Linked DNA regions of Cricetulus griseus. The protein of the gene in region 4 interacts with the protein of the main gene of each other region in a pairwise test. Links are inferred from orthologs where the notes say so. Each region holds a gene or a part of one and is shown on either strand. Other genes may lie near its edges. The genes, in order: Tubgcp4, Cinp, Accs and Fbf1.

Region 1 (4,053 bases), on a different chromosome or scaffold from region 4:
TCCATGCAGGCATATATTCAATGTAACAGTTAAATGACTCTCATAAACTTTGAGTAGTCACGATGGTTCTTTTTAATCAAATGTGAAAATACTGTTCTATGGAAAGCATATAGTATTTGCTGTTTTTGTCTTTTTCCACAAATAGATGAACATCTACTATGGGGCAGACACCGCTAAGTGCTCTGGGTAAATGGAAATCTCTACAGAAGAAGCAGTGTAGACAGGTGACAGCAATAACAAGTGATGAACTAATTCTTCAAAGTCTGAGAAAGGAAACAAATAGCAGTTATAAAGAAGAAAGGCACAAGAGAAGAATACTGAAAGGGTGACCACAAAACTCTTCCGAGGCCTTAGGAATGAAAGGATGAAAATGTCTGCTTCAAACCTTTATAACAAAGTCAAGAGAAGATGAAATATTTGTGGCTCTTGCTGCAGCCTTCCCAGCCGTCTCTGCCATGCCCTGGGTATCATTTGCTTTTATTTCAAATGTCAGTCAAGCACCCACAAATGCTGTGCATTTTCCCCCCTCCATGATTGGCAGTGTGTCAGTCTTCAAAGACATACACACAAAAATTGTAAAAGCACACACTTCTAAATCCCAAATTCACACCCATAAGGGATAACAGAAATCTGTTCAATTTGTTTTATGGATGAAGAAAGGACCTTTCTGATCCTCCAAGGCCTATACTGACAGTGCTCCTATGAACAGACACCACACTGTGATCAGATCTTAATTCCTAGGACTGCCACAAGTCTGCACAAAGTTCTCCAAGCTTCAGTTTTATGCACTCATAAGCTGGGACGAGCAATACTGAAGTTACTAGGTGTAAGGATTCAGGCATTATGCTGGCCTGACCCTGTCACCTGGCAGAATGCACTCGGGCAGTACTCTGGTCAGCCCAGGGTTCCATAAGTACTAGTCTGATTGCAGGTGCAAAGCACCCCCTTAAAAGTCAGACTCCTGCCCACTTAAGCTCTCTTTGCCCCCTCCCCCCTTTCTCTTTCTGCTCTTTTCCAGCTCTCTTCCCACTCTCTCTTCCTACTGTTCCTCTGGGCAGACAGGAATTTTCCTGCCTCCCATTTCTCTTCTATCCTCTCTCTGTCTCTGTGTCTTTTTACCTCTTTTCTCTTTCCTTCCTTCTCCCTTCCCTTTCTAATAAAACCTCTCACTTAAGTTCTCTGTCTGCCTGGCTTGTTTGTCCCTCCGCCTCCGTCACCCTCGCCTGCCATGGAACCCGCCATGGTCCCCCACGAAAGGACCCCTCAGGCTTTATCATAACAGTAGGTAACTGAGAGCACCAGGCATCATTACTGGAAGCTGAATACGCTAACAGTTCTGACAGTGGAATAAGACAGACCTGTGTTCAGTTCTAAGCTATACAAACCAGGAGGTGGTGGCTAACACCTTTAATCCCAAAGTTTGGGAGGCAGAGGCTGGTGGATTTCTGTGAGTTCGAGGCCAGCCTAGTCTACACAGCAAGTTCCAAGACAAGCTCCAAAGCTACAGAGGAACCCTGTCTCGAAAAAAACACAAAAAAAGTAAGCTATACTAATGAATAGTTAAGTGACGCTGGGAGTTAACTTTCTGAACTAGATTGCTGTGAGGATTCGATGACATATAATGAACACTGCACTACAGTCACACTATCCTGGTCCTAGTTAGGTTTCTGTTGCTGTGACAAAAGAGCAAAGTGTTTATTTCAGTTTACAGTTCTTCATGAAGGCCGAATCCCCAATCCTCATGCCTAATTATTCAACAGTCTGATTAGAAAATGGTATTCTGATTTCCTTAGATTGGCACGATTAACGCTGTTTTACTGTTTTATCAAACGCATAAAGTAGCCACAGTTACATACAGTTCCGGGGGGAAGGCCATTCTCCTGTCATAGAAGAGAAACAGTGGAGGAAAGCTGTTTACTAGCTCGCTCCACCTGACAGGCAGAGCCGGCTTTCTTATACATATGGAGACCACCTGCTGAGGGACTCGGCCTGCACTGGGCCCTTCCACAGCAGTCGCGAATTAAGAACTTGCAGTACAGGCTTGCCCACAGCCAATATGACGGGCATTTTCTCAGCTAAGTTTCCCTCTTCTCAGGAAACTCTAGCTTCTGTCAAGTTAGAAATGGAGGGAAGGATGGAGAGAAGAACGAACTAATCAACACATTCCTCTCATACTTTTCTGATTACAGAAAAAGCTCTTTCAAGTTCTTAACCTGGTACAGAAATTTCCGAGGAAAGGAGGGAAACGCCAAATTCATTTTTTTTATCTAACACAATTTACTGAGTGTTTATAGTGTTTTGAGCTCTGTGTACATATTTCCACAAGTCAGTTTGAAAATAATGCAAGCGTGAATACACAGGGGTACCCTACTCCCTTTTTAAATAATAAACTATCATCTAATTCCAGATACACATTTAGGGATTCACAGTTTAACAGTAACTTTATATGCAGTAAAAAGAAGTACAGTTCTACCCACTCTCAGTGGCTCCCTAGCCCGGGTCCCCCCTCAAAGCCGGAGCTATGTCGGGTTGCCCTCGGCTTCTCACGGCTCGCGGGCTCAGTCATTCGGCGTCCCCCCCGCGTCCCGCCCCTCCGCTGCGCTGCAGCGTCCCAGCCTCAGACCCGCTCCGTACCTGCAGGCCACTCCGCTTGTTCCAAGTGAAAATGGATCCTGGGTACCCACTCAGAGCCAAGAGCAATTCGTGAATCATTTCTGGGGCGGCCTCGGAGCTCCCAGACCTACCGCCTTCTCTTTGAGCGCCTCTGCGGGCGTCCACTCACACCCAAACGAGTCGCTCGCCCAGAAACCCCGCAGACCAGCGCGCGCGGGGCCGTCACGGCGCCGCGCGCCGCGTCCCGGAAGTGCGCGCGGCTCAGAGGCGCCCACCCGCTCGCTCCCGCCGCGGAGCGCAGAGGAGGCGCCAGAGGTGCCATCGCGCATGCGTCTCGGGTGCCCGGAGTGGCCCGCTCGGACTTCCGGCTCCAGAGCCGGACTGGGGCTCCTGCTGGGCAAGACTGGTCTTAGCCGGGCCGGAATGGCTGAGGCCGGCCCGGGGACAGGGATAAGAGTGACTTGACAGGCAGGTGGAGACGCGGCCACCGGTGGGCCGGAGGGAGTCCTCAGGACGCCTTGGCAGAGTGTGTGGCGTTTTGACCGACTGCACGACGTCTCCCAGAGTGACCCGGCCGGAGGGGACAAAGAGGCCGGAACTTGGCAGGCGCCGCTGTGGAGCAGCGCTCGGAGCCCATTTTGAGCTCGCAGCACTGGCCAGCACTGGCTTCGGTCTCGGGAGACCCACTACTTGCCTCCTCTCAGGCTCCCTCGCTTCACCAACTCCTGTGACTCTTCCCCAAGCCCAGTTGAGTTTAGAAGCCCAAGTCAGCTTCCCCGGTGCGTGAATTTCCCATCTGTGTCTCCCGAACTCTTGCTGAGTTCTTACTTTGTCTGGGAGGGGTAAACAGGAGACCCAACATTCAGCACTTGACTTGGGTTCTGCCTGGAAAATCTTACTTTGGCGTTCAAGGGGGCGGGGCTGACAGCAGGGGCTCTGGGGAAGATTAGCGGCCACCCGCTAGTCAGGCTTTTGTGGTCTTCAGCCAAATGTTGACTTACCTTTAGAGTCCATCAGATGTCCCATGCGGTTCGAATTCACTCTACAACTTTGATCTGGGGCGCTAAATGCGATCAGATTTATTTAGGTGAGGTGAGCGTGAAGCAGATGGGATTTTCTATTACCTGCGACTTCTGGGAATGCTCCAGTCACCACCCAGAAATGGAGCTTTTTGAAAGGTCATTTTCTCCTTGCTCATTGATTTGCTGTCCTGAAGCGGCACTACCTCAGAAGACCACTTGGAGCATATGGGAAGTCAAGCCGCCTCTGGCAAGACTTTTAAACATGTGAAGATATTTCCATTTCTCTTTAGGAAGAAACTCCTTTTTACAGAGAGACTCATCTGCAGATGTTTCTGTAAGGACATGGGGAGATAGCGAACTAAGTCTGGAACCCAGACACTAAAAGGAGAGACTGCTTTTAGCTGTGAAGGATGGCCAA
Region 2 (3,561 bases), on a different chromosome or scaffold from region 4:
CTAACCGATGCTGATGTCCCTCAAAACCACCTCTAGAAGAGCTACTTACAAAAGAAAGCCGTGGGCCATGTGTGGAACAGAAGGGGCCGGTTACTTTCTTCCCTGTAATGATAATTTTCTAGTTCACAAATTCCTTTGGTGGTTGAAGACAGCTTTTCCATTTTCATTTGTATTTTAGTCTGAAAAAGGTATTAATTTGGAATATGAGAATACTGCTTAGAATTTCTAATTTCAGATATAATAACTATGAAAGATTTGAATACTACGATATATAGTCCTGGTGGGGTTAAAATTCCAGTAACTCGCCCCATCACCTCCAGACAGCAGATTTCTATGTGTGTGTAGGGGGGCATGTGGTTGCTGTGGTTTCATTTCTTTGCATTACTTTGGCACTAAGCTCTGGATTTTCAAAGCCTCAGAGAGAAGAAAGCTTGCCGAGTCCCATCTCAGTAGGATTTCTAAGCAGCACTAGTGTTTTAGCTCCAAAGACCTGGAGGAATCCTAGAGTGGGCCACTGTTCCGAGTGAGACAGGCAGAAAGGCACTCAGTGAATGTCTTTCTTTCTGACGGTCTTTTATGGACTGCCTTAGAGTTCACTGCAGCCTCTGTGGGCCTCCTGTCCACACAGAAGAGCACAATGAGAACTCGAAACCCACAGATCTCCCTCCCTCTGCAATGGTGTCCTCTATCAGCTCCCAGGAGCAAACACCAGCACCGCCTACACGGTGACAAAGGATGACCAGCAGTGAAGCACCTGCTTAGTTATGAGTGACCATTACGATAAACAGAATTAACTGGGGTGGTAGATTTAGGTAGCAAAGGTTTATTAAAAATGTCTAACTCCTGAGTATAGTTAACTATGGTGTGTCTTGGGGGGGGGTGGGATAAAAGAAATATACAGTATCAAAACCGTAAGTCCTTGTACTTGGTCCTCCTAACTATCCATCCCTGGTTTAAGTGGCACACACTAAATTTAGCAACTGTTAATCTTAAAAGGTCTCGCTTCCTTCTCAAATAATTTTAGGTTCAATATTTCATTTGGCTTAACCGCCATCATTTCCAATTGCTGATGGGAAGGTTCTCAAGGTTGAGGTGGGGAAGCAGGGCCAGGACAGGGTCTGTGCTTTCTGAACCCATGGCTGTGAACAAAAGTCTGCACACCCTGGCACCTTCCCGACCCCTCCTAATTCTAGAAAAGCTTAGAAGGATTCAAGGAGGAAAATCTGGAGGCCCTAGCCTGTCATACCTGCAGTCGGCCACCAACAGAGACAAAGTCACATCTGTCTGTGCTTTGTTGAGCTGACAATGTAAGCACAGCCTATACTCACCCACCAGCATCTGTAGTGTCTCCCCACAGTAACATAGACCACAGCTTAGGGGAAAGGCTGCATTGCCCCCCCCCCCCCAGGAAGAGACATGTAAAGCCAAACCTCTGTAATGGCTGGGGAAACATGAAAAGCAACATTCACCTCCAAACCCAATTTCTGGGTTTGAACACTGAATGAGAATACATTTCTAAAACAGTTTTAAGACAGATTCAAGCAAACAGGTGATGGCGCCAGCCTTTAATCCCAGCACTTGGGAGGCAGGCGATCTCTGTGAGTTTAAGGCAGCCTGGTCTACAGAGCGAGTGCCAGGACAGCCAGAGCTACACAGAGAAACCCTGTCTCGGAAAACCAAAAGGTTCAGGGTCACCAGAGCAGAGAGCTTCTAACCAATGGCTAGCACACACAGCTTTCTTTCTCTAGTAAGATTTATTTCATCATTTGTGTGGGCAGGTGCCTATGGAGGCCACAACTGGGTACTGGATTCCCTGGAGCTGGAGTTAGAGACAGTTGTGAGCAGCAAGTACTCTCAACACTTGAAACCTCTCTGTAGCCTCAGAGCTAACAGGTTTCTAACAGGACTTTCCTGGGCCCCTTGGGGAAAAAAAGGCTGACTCTGGGACAGAGGCAGGAAATGTGCAAAGCCAGCCCAGAACAGCTTTCAATGCTAGTCAGTAAAGAAATGTCAAAAATTCCCAAAGCAGAACATTACTATGAAGAGTACTTTAGGCAGAACTCCCAATGTCAGAGTGCAAACAATCTGAACAAGAAATACAGTTAATTTGGATCACAACCTGAAGAATGGTATGTCTGGTGTTGTGTGGCAGTATGGAAAAGTCACTATGACACAGATGGTCTGGCCCTCAAAGCCTAAATATTTACTTGATGGGCCCTTGAGGTGGTTGAAACTGCCCAGGACAATGTACCAGACAGCATCTTAGGAGCATCAGGATTTGTTAGGTAGGTGGAAAAAGGCTAAGGAGAGAAAGGGTCTTTGGCAGTTTTGAATGCCCCCATTGTCAAGCAAACCCCAAATGGTGCCACTGGGTTTGAGTGACAGTGATGTAGATGACCGGCACTGTTAGTTAGGTCTTACCAAGCCATCCAAGGTGGCCTGCAGCTGCTCACACAGTGCTTCAAGCTCCTCACTGTAGTCCTGACTCGTCTTTTCTTCCTTCTCACTGGAAGCGGGGCTGCTGCTCTCTAATTCAACCTTCTCTTTACTCCTGGACAAAGCAGAAAACAATGGGTGCAAATGACACACTTTAAACTCACCTCATGCTTGTTGACAGGGCTTGAAGAGGAGGAGTTCACAGTCAGCCTGGCTAGTCAATGAGCCCCTGCCTCAAAAAAAGAAAACAAAACAAAAAGGCGTGGGGATCCCTTTACCTCATTCTGTTATAATGAATCCTATAAAAGCCACCACCCACATAATCACGGTAGACATTTGACATGCATATTGCAAATGTCATTATAGTAGATGCTTATTCACACACACCGCGGGCACATCCATTGGTTGGGACAGAACTGAGGGCCTCCAGTGTGCTGCAAATGCTCTACTGCTAAGCTAGACCCCAGCCCTGGCCACTCAACTCGGTACTGGGGGAAGGCAGGTCTAGCCACGAGGCATCCTTGGTGTAGGGCTTAATGCTGCTTGCACAAAGATGCATAAGATGCGGGTAGTTTCCTGAAGGAGTCAAGGGTTGGCGAATGGTTCTTAAACTGAAGTCTGCGATCCATACGTTGTGGACACTGAAGGCTTGGTTTTTCAGTCTCTGGTGCTGTTAGTTGGAGGTGCAACCATTAAGGGAGGCTTCTATCTGTGTGAGGGCATACCCTTCATAGGATTTTGGGATCCCAGTATCTTCTTTCTGGTCCTGGCCATGAGCATCCACTGTGATGTATGCTACCTTGCCACGGTGCATACGAAACCAGGTGTTAGCCTCTGGTGTTCCTAAGGAGTCATCCACCTTGTTTGTTTCTTTGTTTTGAGACAGGGTTTCTCTGTGTAACAACCCTATCTGTGCTGGAACTCACTCTATAGAGCAGGCTGACTTCAAACTCATAGAGAGGGCAGGAGAGATGGCTCAGCGGTTAAAAGCACTGACTGTTCTTCCAGAGGACCTGAGTTCAATTCCCAGCAAACAAACTCATAGAGAGAGCCGCCTGCTTCTGCCTCCCAAGTGCTAGGATGAAAGGCATGAGCCACCATGCCTGGCCACCATCGACATTTTTG
Region 3 (4,004 bases), on a different chromosome or scaffold from region 4:
GGAGGGGACAGAAAGGGAAGGGGAGAGAAAGGGAATAGGGAGAGAAAGGGAAGGGGAGAGAAAGGAGAGGGGAGAGAAAGGGAATAGGGAGAGAAAGGGGAGGGGAGGGGAAGCAGAGTTGTTCCCAAGGCAGACCTGGAATCCATGTCTCCCAGCTCTTACATCAGGGCTCCTGAGGCATGCTGCAAGCTACTGTGGCAAAGGATTCAAGAAGCCCCTGGTGATTGCAGTCCCACTACTCACCCGCCTAGACAGAAGGTCAAAGCAGAGTTTGTTCTCACTGGTGCCCAAGTTAATGATGCCCTGAAGACAAAGTGTAGAGGCAGGGTGAACATGACAAAGGAATGCCAACAAACAGCCTGGGGAACCCACAGACAACAAAGTGGGCACCAGTCTACCCTCCCACCACCCTCTTTGTCTTTTCTCATTGGGCTCCAAAATCCCATCTGCCATTTCCAACACTGTCTAAATACCACCTCCAGCAAGAAACCTTCCCCCAAGCCCCACTGGGAAGGACTCTTTGAGTCTTGGAGTCCCACTCGTCTCTTTCCACCACTCCCCTGCCCTTAGAAAACCACTCAATTTCTGCTCCATGGCACAAGGATCAGGGTAGAGCTCTCTCTGATGATAGCTAGATCCCTGAAGGCAAATTCATGCCCCAGACACCACTGTGTCTCTCCAGAAACATTTATAGAATGAAAAAAAAAACCTGCATACTATAAATTATACTCTGCTAGGACCAAATACAAGGGTGGGGTGGTCAGTGGACACCCCCCTTGTCAGTGTAAATTATTCCCTAGGAGGCCCAGCTAACAGGACACAATGTCCAATTGCCACCCCATAAGGTGTTAATCCTAATAGGAGACACAACTCCTGAGCCCTACCTTATGTGGGGAGTGAAGGAAGCAGGAAAGACAAAACAACTAAACTTGAATGAGCGGAGAGTAAGACAAATAAAAGGCAATGTTCTGTTTCCTCCAGACACAGCCAACCCATTCAGCCAGCCACTTATCATGCCCCACTGCTGAGACCCTAGTGTAAGTCACCATAGCTCCTGACCAGATCACTGCCATAGCTCCCATCTCCTCTCTTGTCCACTCCCTCACCTGTCATTGGGTCTTCATATGGAAGTCCAAGATGTCTTTAAAAAAAAAAACTGAAATTGCTTCATGCACACTGCTCCTCTCCTGAACACTTCCTACCCACCCCTGTCTACAGAAAGAACTGTCACCATGTCCCATGAGGCCCTACAATACCCATAGCCTTTCTGACCCCATCACCCACCAGTCTGGCTTTACCACAGCCCACTGGTTCCTTTGCTGACCCTTGATCTGATCCAGCATAGTTGCAGCCTGGAGCCTTTGTACCAGCTATCCTCTGAGCTGCATGGCTCCTGGTAGCCTCTACCATGGCACCCTGGGTAGAGACTGAATCTGCCAACTGCTCCTGATAAAAAGAACATGCAAAACTGATGGGATGTCACTTCTAAGGTTGGGTCATAAAAGTGTGTGGCTTCCATATTAGGTTCTCATGATCTCTCATTCTTCCTGGAGTCATCTGCTCTAGAGGGAGGCAGCTGCCATATCTGAGGCAGTTCTGGGAAAAAGTCCATGTGGAGAGGAACAGGTGCCCACCAGGAGATGGAGCCTCTCACCTGTCCAAGTCCCATCACCCCGCAAGCTTTCAGATGAGATCACAGTACCAGCTTCAGGGTACTGTGACAGAAAGCCCTGGTCTGAAGACACCCACCAGGAGTCCTGAGCTCCAGCAACCGGGAAATATTTGCTAGGTAAACTGCTGAGATTTGGGGTGATTTGTTACAGCAATGGGTAATTAACACAATCCCTCTCACTTTTTTTTTTCAAGCCTCTGTTCTAGTGTCTCCTGATTAAAATAGCATTCTATGACATCCTATATCAAACAGCAACATTTCCTAGCAGACCATCATCCTCTGTCCACCTCACCCTATCTTCATTTTCTCTGCAGTGCCTAACAGTAAATGTTATATGTATTTTTGACCTGTCCATCTCAACTAAAATATAAATACATAGGGCAAGATTTAAAGTATGACACCAGTACCTCTAGAACAGTCGCTGATACCTGGTGGATGCTCAGCAGATCAAAACTATTAATAAGTGTTATTGTGTAGTTCTTTGCTAAATTATTATGTGTAATAGATTATGGTTATTGTGGCAGATGATATGAATAATAACAGCAGCTGTATTTATCAAGTTTCCTATATGACAAACACTAATTTCACACTTCTCGTCTCATTTCTACAGAGCAGACATTACCAGCCCATCTCAGAGATGACCTGTCTACAGAGAAGACATAAAAGCCCATCTCAGAGATGATCTGTCTACACAGAAGACATTACCAGCCCATCTCAGAAATGAACAACCTACAGAGCAGACATTACCAGCCCTCTTGGAGCCAAAGGTTCATAACTCCAACCTGACAAGAGCAAGCTGGGTGCTGGCTGCTCTGCAGTTAGTTTGCTCTTGGGTCCCAGTGGGGAGGGGTCTTCACTCACACTGGGGTTCTTGTCCTCATCAAACTCATCCATGTGGTAGGTTCTGTAGCCCTCCTCAGCTGAGTCCCAGAACCATTTGATGACTCTTCCTCTAGAGGACAGGCAGGAGCTATCAGAGGAGAACATGGCCATGGGGTCACCCACTCCATAGAGTTTGGACTGCTTCCAGTCTGGCTTTCTGAGGCATTCTCCTTGCAGATCATCACCATAGCCACTGTCCATGTCCCGAGAAGAGGTTGAGCCTGAAGGTGCAGTCGGTGCTGTGGATTCCCTCTGAGGAAGAGGGAACATCTGCCAAAACACAAATGCACAGGCCCGCTGAAGGGCTTCTGCTCTTGTGTGTGTGTGTGTGTGTGTGTGTGTGTGTGTGTGTGTGTGTGTGTCTGTCTGTCTGTCTGTCTGTCTGTCTGTCTGTCTGTCTATGTGTAGGCCCAAGAACAACCTTTGGTGTTGTTCTAGGAACTATCCACCATATTTTTTGAGACAGGGTCTCTCCCTAAACTCTGGTGTTTGCAGATTGGGTTAGACTGGGTAGCCAGTAAGGCCCAGAAACCTGCCTGTCTCCACCTCCCCAGCTCTGGAATTATGAGGATGCACAACTGACTATTTTTATGTGGGTTCTGGGGATAAAATGTAGTCTTTATGACTACATTTTAATGACTGGACACTTTACAAACAGGGCAAGTGTCCCCTCCTCCTCTGTCCCCTGAAGTTGCATTGAACTCTTGGGCTCAAGGTATCCCTCCTGAGTAGCTGGGACTACCACACAGATATCTCCCTCTTTTTGCAAGTTTGTGTGTTCATCCCCTTTGTCCCTATTGAGTGAAACACTTCAACAAACAAATCTACTGAGGATCTATGGGTACCACACTCTGCATGCTACATTTAAATAACTTCAATCTACTGTAGCTTTAGCTTGCTCCATTTCTACATCTGGCTTTCATTCTGCAGCTTCGGGGGGTCACTCAATGATCTCTCCCCCACCCTTGCTCACCTCAATTTCAAAACACCAGGCTTTTCCCCAAGCAGATCATTGCTGTGGTGCTCTTGTGTAACAGGTGATCTGGAGCTGATGGAGATGGGAACTAGTGGGAGGGGATAGTAGGAGTCACAAATGCACTCCCAACTCCACTCACAAAGGAGGCAAGGGTCTCCTAGCTGCCAACAACATAAGAGCTTCCTAAGCAGCCCTCATTCGTGCCTCACTTGTGCTCTGATGGAACCAAAACCCACCTCAAAGGCAACAGTGAGGATCCGAAGGTGATAAAGCACTCATACCAAATCCTGGCTGGTGGCCAAATGTCTGAAATATGAGTCACTCTATCACAAACGCTCTCTGACTTCCCTGGCTTAAGGTACAAGTCTTACTTGGTAGAAAGGACGGCTGATGGTAGACTGGCGCGCGGGGGGAGAGGGGGCACGACGGCCCGGCCCGCAGTTCAAATTTGCTTTGTAAATCTAGGGGGCCTCC
Region 4 (4,306 bases):
CTAAAACAGAGGCTCAAGGGAAACTTTGTTCACTGTTTAATTTTTTGGGGGGAGGTGCTAGGAAGGGTCTCTCTCTGTGCAGTCCTGACTGGCCTGGAGTTTGCTATATTAAACAGGCTGGCCTGAAATTCACAGAGATCCACCTGTCTCTGCCTCCAGGTGCCAGGATAAAAGGTCCAGCTCCATGCTTACGTTTGTTTGTTTGTTTTGTTTTTTTCTTATGCTACTCTGCCATAGAGACTATCTCCTGGTCCTTGCCACAAAACTTCTAGAATACTCTATGCAGTCAAATGTTCAGGGTGCAGGGATGGGCTGGGGGTTGCTGATATTTCCACACATCTTACACTGATGCAATCTGCCTACCATCTTGGGCTTTGGGGGCTTTCTGTATCTCCTTCACAGCACTGTTCAGTCATGTGCACTCTCGCTGAACAAGTTCATCCTCCCTAGTAGAGAAAATTAAAGTAGCTGCTTAAGAGATGGCTCAGAAGCAAAGAGCACAACCTGTTCTTGCAGAGGACCTGAGTTGAGTTCTCAGCACCTGTGGGTAGCTCACAACCTCCTGTAACTCCAGCTCCAGGGGGTTCCAAGCCTCTGGCCTTCATGGACACCTGTACCCATATACACTTACATACGAGTTCATATAGTTAAAAATTAAAAATCTTTTTTAATTTAAGTAAATTTTTAAAAATATGTAGTTTAGCTCAACATGGTGACCTCATCCTGAAATATCATAATTTGGGAAAGGGAGGTAGAAAAATCAGGAGCTCAAAGTCATCCTCAGCTACATAACAAATTTAAGGCCAGCCTGGGCTAAGTAAGTCTCAAAAAAACAAACAAACAAAAAACCCAAAACAAGGACTTGAGAGAAGGCTCGGTGGTTATGAGCAGTGGCTGCTCTTCCAGAGGACCTGAATTCAGTTCCAAGCAACCACACGGTGGCTCACAATGAGATCTGGTGCCCTCTCCTGGCCTGCAGGGATAATGCAGACAGAACACTATACATAATAAATAAATCTTACCAAAAAAACACAAAACAAAAAACCTGAAACAATAAATAAATAAAATACAGCAGTTAACAGTGCTTGACTCCAAGCGTGTTAAGAATCCTCTCACCTTAGGAGGTCAAAACCTAGTCATGTGGTGGTGGTTCACACCTTTAATCCCAGCACTCTTGGAAGAGGCAAGAGGATCTCCTGTGAATTCAAGACCAGCATGGTCTACAGAGCAAGTTCCAGCAGAGCCAGGAATAGGCTCACACCCATTTCTGTAAGTTCAGAACTTGTGAACTGGAAGCTGCTCGGTGAATGAAGGTGTGTTTGCCAACATGCCTGACTACATGAGTGGGACCTCAGAACACACGAGACGGAGGGAGAAAACTGACTTCTGCAGGGTTTCCTTTACCTCCATGCACATGTGTGTCCCACCCCCAAATAAATAAGTGCAACTAAAAAATAATAATAATAAAAAAGAATTTCAGAGCTTAGCTTCAATTCCAGAACTTGGAGGGCTGCAACAGAAAGAGCTATTTAACAAGGCCTTCGTCAAGAAAGAAAAAGCTAGGGACCTGAAGCCTTGGCCATTTGGGGCACTTGTTGCTCTTCCTCAGGAGCCAGGTTGGGTTCTCAGTACCTACATGGTGGCTCACAACCTGTGTAACTCCCATGGGCACAGGAGGGACAAATGGGTCTGATGCCCTCTTCTGGCCTCCCAGAGTATTTCATGCATGTGGCACTCTTACATGCAAACACCCCTACACATAAAAAAGAAGAAAAAGTTAAGTAGGCATAGTGGTTCATACTTGTAATCCCAGCACGGAGGGGGGGGGGCGAAGCAGGATTGCTATGAATTAGGGGCCAGTTTTGACTATATTGTGATTTTTTTTTAAGGCTAGGGTGAGCGCCTGCCTCAAGAAACAGATTGTGGGGGGGTGGGGAGAGGCACAGAGATTACATGAAAAAGAGAAGGAGACTATGAGAAAAAGAGAATATATGAAGAAAGCGAGATAATGGGAATTCCCAATTCACTTATTGGGCTTTTCTTGGCTTAGAGAGTACTTGGAAAAAGCGGTCCCCATCCTTTACTCTGGGAGAGGATGCTGAAATGGCAAAGAACCATGTGGGAGGGGCAACCACATCCCGGCCCGTTTTACCAAGAATCTCTGCCGAGAATCTGTAGGCAGCATCCAGCATTGTAAGTGTGAGAGTGAGCCCTGGATTCTCCTTTCACAGACGGCGGGCAGCTCGCCCTGGGAACAGATCTTTCTAGCACTGCCTCTCCCACTCCCCGAACCCACCTTCGCATGCCTAGGAAGAAAGGCGGCCGCGGCCCTCATCTGTCTTCCCGGTGTATCTAGCCTCTTACCACAGTGCACAGTGTTTCTGGGGTTGAGGACGCAGGGGGGGTGCTTGTGTTTCTCCCGCGCAATGGCAACTGCAGCGACCTGCAAGTCCAAAGGCCTTTGGCTTGTGTCACGCCAAGGATCCTCCGGATCTCCTAAGCATCCCGTGGCGGCTTCCCGGGGGGTGCGGCGTTTTCTAGGAGCGGCTTGTGAGGGCCCACGGGTGCGAGAAGAACGTCGAGTCTTCACACCCATTCACCCAGCTCCTCCGAGCCATTTTAAACCTCGCGAGCCCGCCCCTCAGCCGCAGCGCTTCCGGGAGTGTGGCGCCAGGCCGGGCACGGAGCCCCTCAAGGTTCCATCCCCCGCGCGCCCATCCCGTGCTCCTCCCAGCCCCCGAGGGCCCTGTTTCGAGCCGTCCTTTCACAAACACGGCCACGGGAACCCAACCCAACCGGAGACCCGGATTCCGATTCCACTCAGTCCGCCCGTTTCCGCCAGGCCTACCACCTGGGCGCCGGCGACATTCCCACCTCGCCGCCTCCGGCCTCAACTAGAAGGCGAAGTGAAGCATTCTAGGTACTGTAGTCCGCGGCCCGCTCCCTTGCGGGCCGAACCCCAGGAGGTGCCGGGAAGAACTACATTTCCCAGCGTGCCCCGCGGCGGGGCGCTTCTCCCGGCTGGAAGTCCGTTGCTAGGAGCTGTTTCAATGCCACTCTAGTGAGGGGCAGGGAAAGCATCCTCGGAGCGTGTGCAAGCTGGTTCCTCGAGCTCTGAGGACTGAGTGGTGACTGTAACCTTCGTGGTCAATGAAGAGGTCAAAGCTGCGCTATCAGAAAACCCAAAACCATCAACAGAGGCACACAGTGGACGCGCCACGCCCGGAATCCCAGCATCTGTAAAGCCCAGACTGATCCAAAACTGCATTTCCTAGGTCAAAACCGGCTGTGGCAGAAATTTGCAGCCAGCTACATAATAGTATCTCAGAACTACACTTAACGCATTTTCTTGGCTGTACTTATTACAGCTTTTTAAAGAGATAGTGTACAGCGGCTCGGAAGGGATGCACAGGGATTCTGGCAGTCGAGAGCCACAGCTCGGATGGAAAGGTATCCTGGCACTCGGGAGCCAAGGAATACCACAGGTCAGCGTAGCAGCTTGCAGCCCTGCTCCGGGGAAAGGCTTCCCCAGTTTTACAGCTCTGCTCTGGCAGGGGAGGGAAGAGGAGGGCTTCCCCAGAGAAGTTGTTACAGTTAGGCTCGGTCCTCCTGAGTGTAACAAGTCGGCAGGCACAGGGTTTATATGGGGTTTCTTAAGGGTGGAGTTTTTCCAGGGTGGGGATTGGTCAGATTTCAATCCCTGAGCTCAGATTGGCTAGATCTTCTGCCCAGGGGTTGGTTGGTTTTCTGCACAGGTTCAGGGTCCGATTTGGCTCTGGTTTCAGGGCCAAAGTCTGTTTCTTTCACTGGTCCTTTTTAGCCTTTTGGCTCTAATTTTAGGGCCAGGATGTATTTCTTTCACTGGCTCTGATTCCAGAGACAAAGTGTGTTTCTTTGGCACTGGTTTCAGGGCCAGGGTGCATTTCTTTGGTTCTGGTTTCAGGGCCAAATGTGTTTCTTGGCCACTGCTCAAGGTGTGTTTCTTTGGCTGACCCCTTTTCCCTAAACAGGGTCTCACTATGTAGCTCTGTCTGTTCTGGAACTATATAAACCAGGCTGGCCCTGAATTCACAGAGATCCCCATGTGTCTGCCATTCAAGAGGCATGATTAAAGGCCTGGGCCACCACACCCACCCCATTACACATTTAGACGTAAGATTTTATTAAAGCGTTGGCAGGTCATTGGTGTCCAGCCATAATTTGCTAGCTGTGGTCCTGGACAACAACCTCCTGTCCCGTTTCTACAGGGCTAGGTAGTAACACGTGCTGAAGGCTATTGTCAGGAACTAAAGATTACAAGTCATTT

Evidence for each region.
Region 1: the proteins of Fbf1 (region 4) and Tubgcp4 interact in a two-hybrid assay, tested with the Homo sapiens proteins (2 studies listed by BioGRID and IntAct). The two-hybrid records come from large-scale screens. The link is inferred for Cricetulus griseus from reciprocal best matches to the Homo sapiens genes FBF1 and TUBGCP4.
Region 2: the proteins of Fbf1 (region 4) and Cinp interact in binary tests that used the Homo sapiens proteins (3 or more experiments, as listed by UniProt). The two-hybrid records come from large-scale screens. The link is inferred for Cricetulus griseus from reciprocal best matches to the Homo sapiens genes FBF1 and CINP.
Region 3: the proteins of Fbf1 (region 4) and Accs interact in a two-hybrid assay, tested with the Homo sapiens proteins (2 studies listed by BioGRID and IntAct). The two-hybrid records come from large-scale screens. The link is inferred for Cricetulus griseus from reciprocal best matches to the Homo sapiens genes FBF1 and ACCS.

Annotation. Positions count from the first base shown.
Region 1 is NC_048599.1:57,258,891-57,262,943, forward strand, and holds the start of Tubgcp4 (gamma-tubulin complex component 4), read right to left. Parts: upstream 2,850-4,053; 5' UTR 2,713-2,849; coding exon 2,635-2,712; intron 1-2,634. UniProt on the Homo sapiens protein: Component of the gamma-tubulin ring complex (gTuRC) which mediates microtubule nucleation.
Region 2 is NC_048598.1:183,142,115-183,145,675, reverse strand, and holds part of Cinp (cyclin-dependent kinase 2-interacting protein), read right to left. Parts: intron 2,552-3,561; coding exon 2,422-2,551; intron 180-2,421; coding exon 50-179; intron 1-49. UniProt on the Homo sapiens protein: Component of the DNA replication complex, which interacts with two kinases, CDK2 and CDC7, thereby providing a functional and physical link between CDK2 and CDC7 during firing of the origins of replication.
Region 3 is NC_048599.1:82,875,684-82,879,687, reverse strand, and holds the start of Accs (1-aminocyclopropane-1-carboxylate synthase-like protein 1), read right to left. Parts: upstream 2,825-4,004; coding exon 2,534-2,824; intron 304-2,533; coding exon 244-303; intron 1-243. UniProt on the Homo sapiens protein: Does not catalyze the synthesis of 1-aminocyclopropane-1-carboxylate but is capable of catalyzing the deamination of L-vinylglycine.
Region 4 is NC_048600.1:128,748,501-128,752,806, forward strand, and holds the start of Fbf1 (fas-binding factor 1), read right to left. Parts: upstream 2,843-4,306; 5' UTR 2,597-2,842; coding exon 2,297-2,596; intron 1,754-2,296; exon of another isoform or gene 1,667-1,753; coding exon of another isoform or gene 1,568-1,666; intron 447-1,567; exon of another isoform or gene 367-446; coding exon of another isoform or gene 364-366; intron 1-363. UniProt on the Homo sapiens protein: Keratin-binding protein required for epithelial cell polarization. Involved in apical junction complex (AJC) assembly via its interaction with PARD3. Required for ciliogenesis.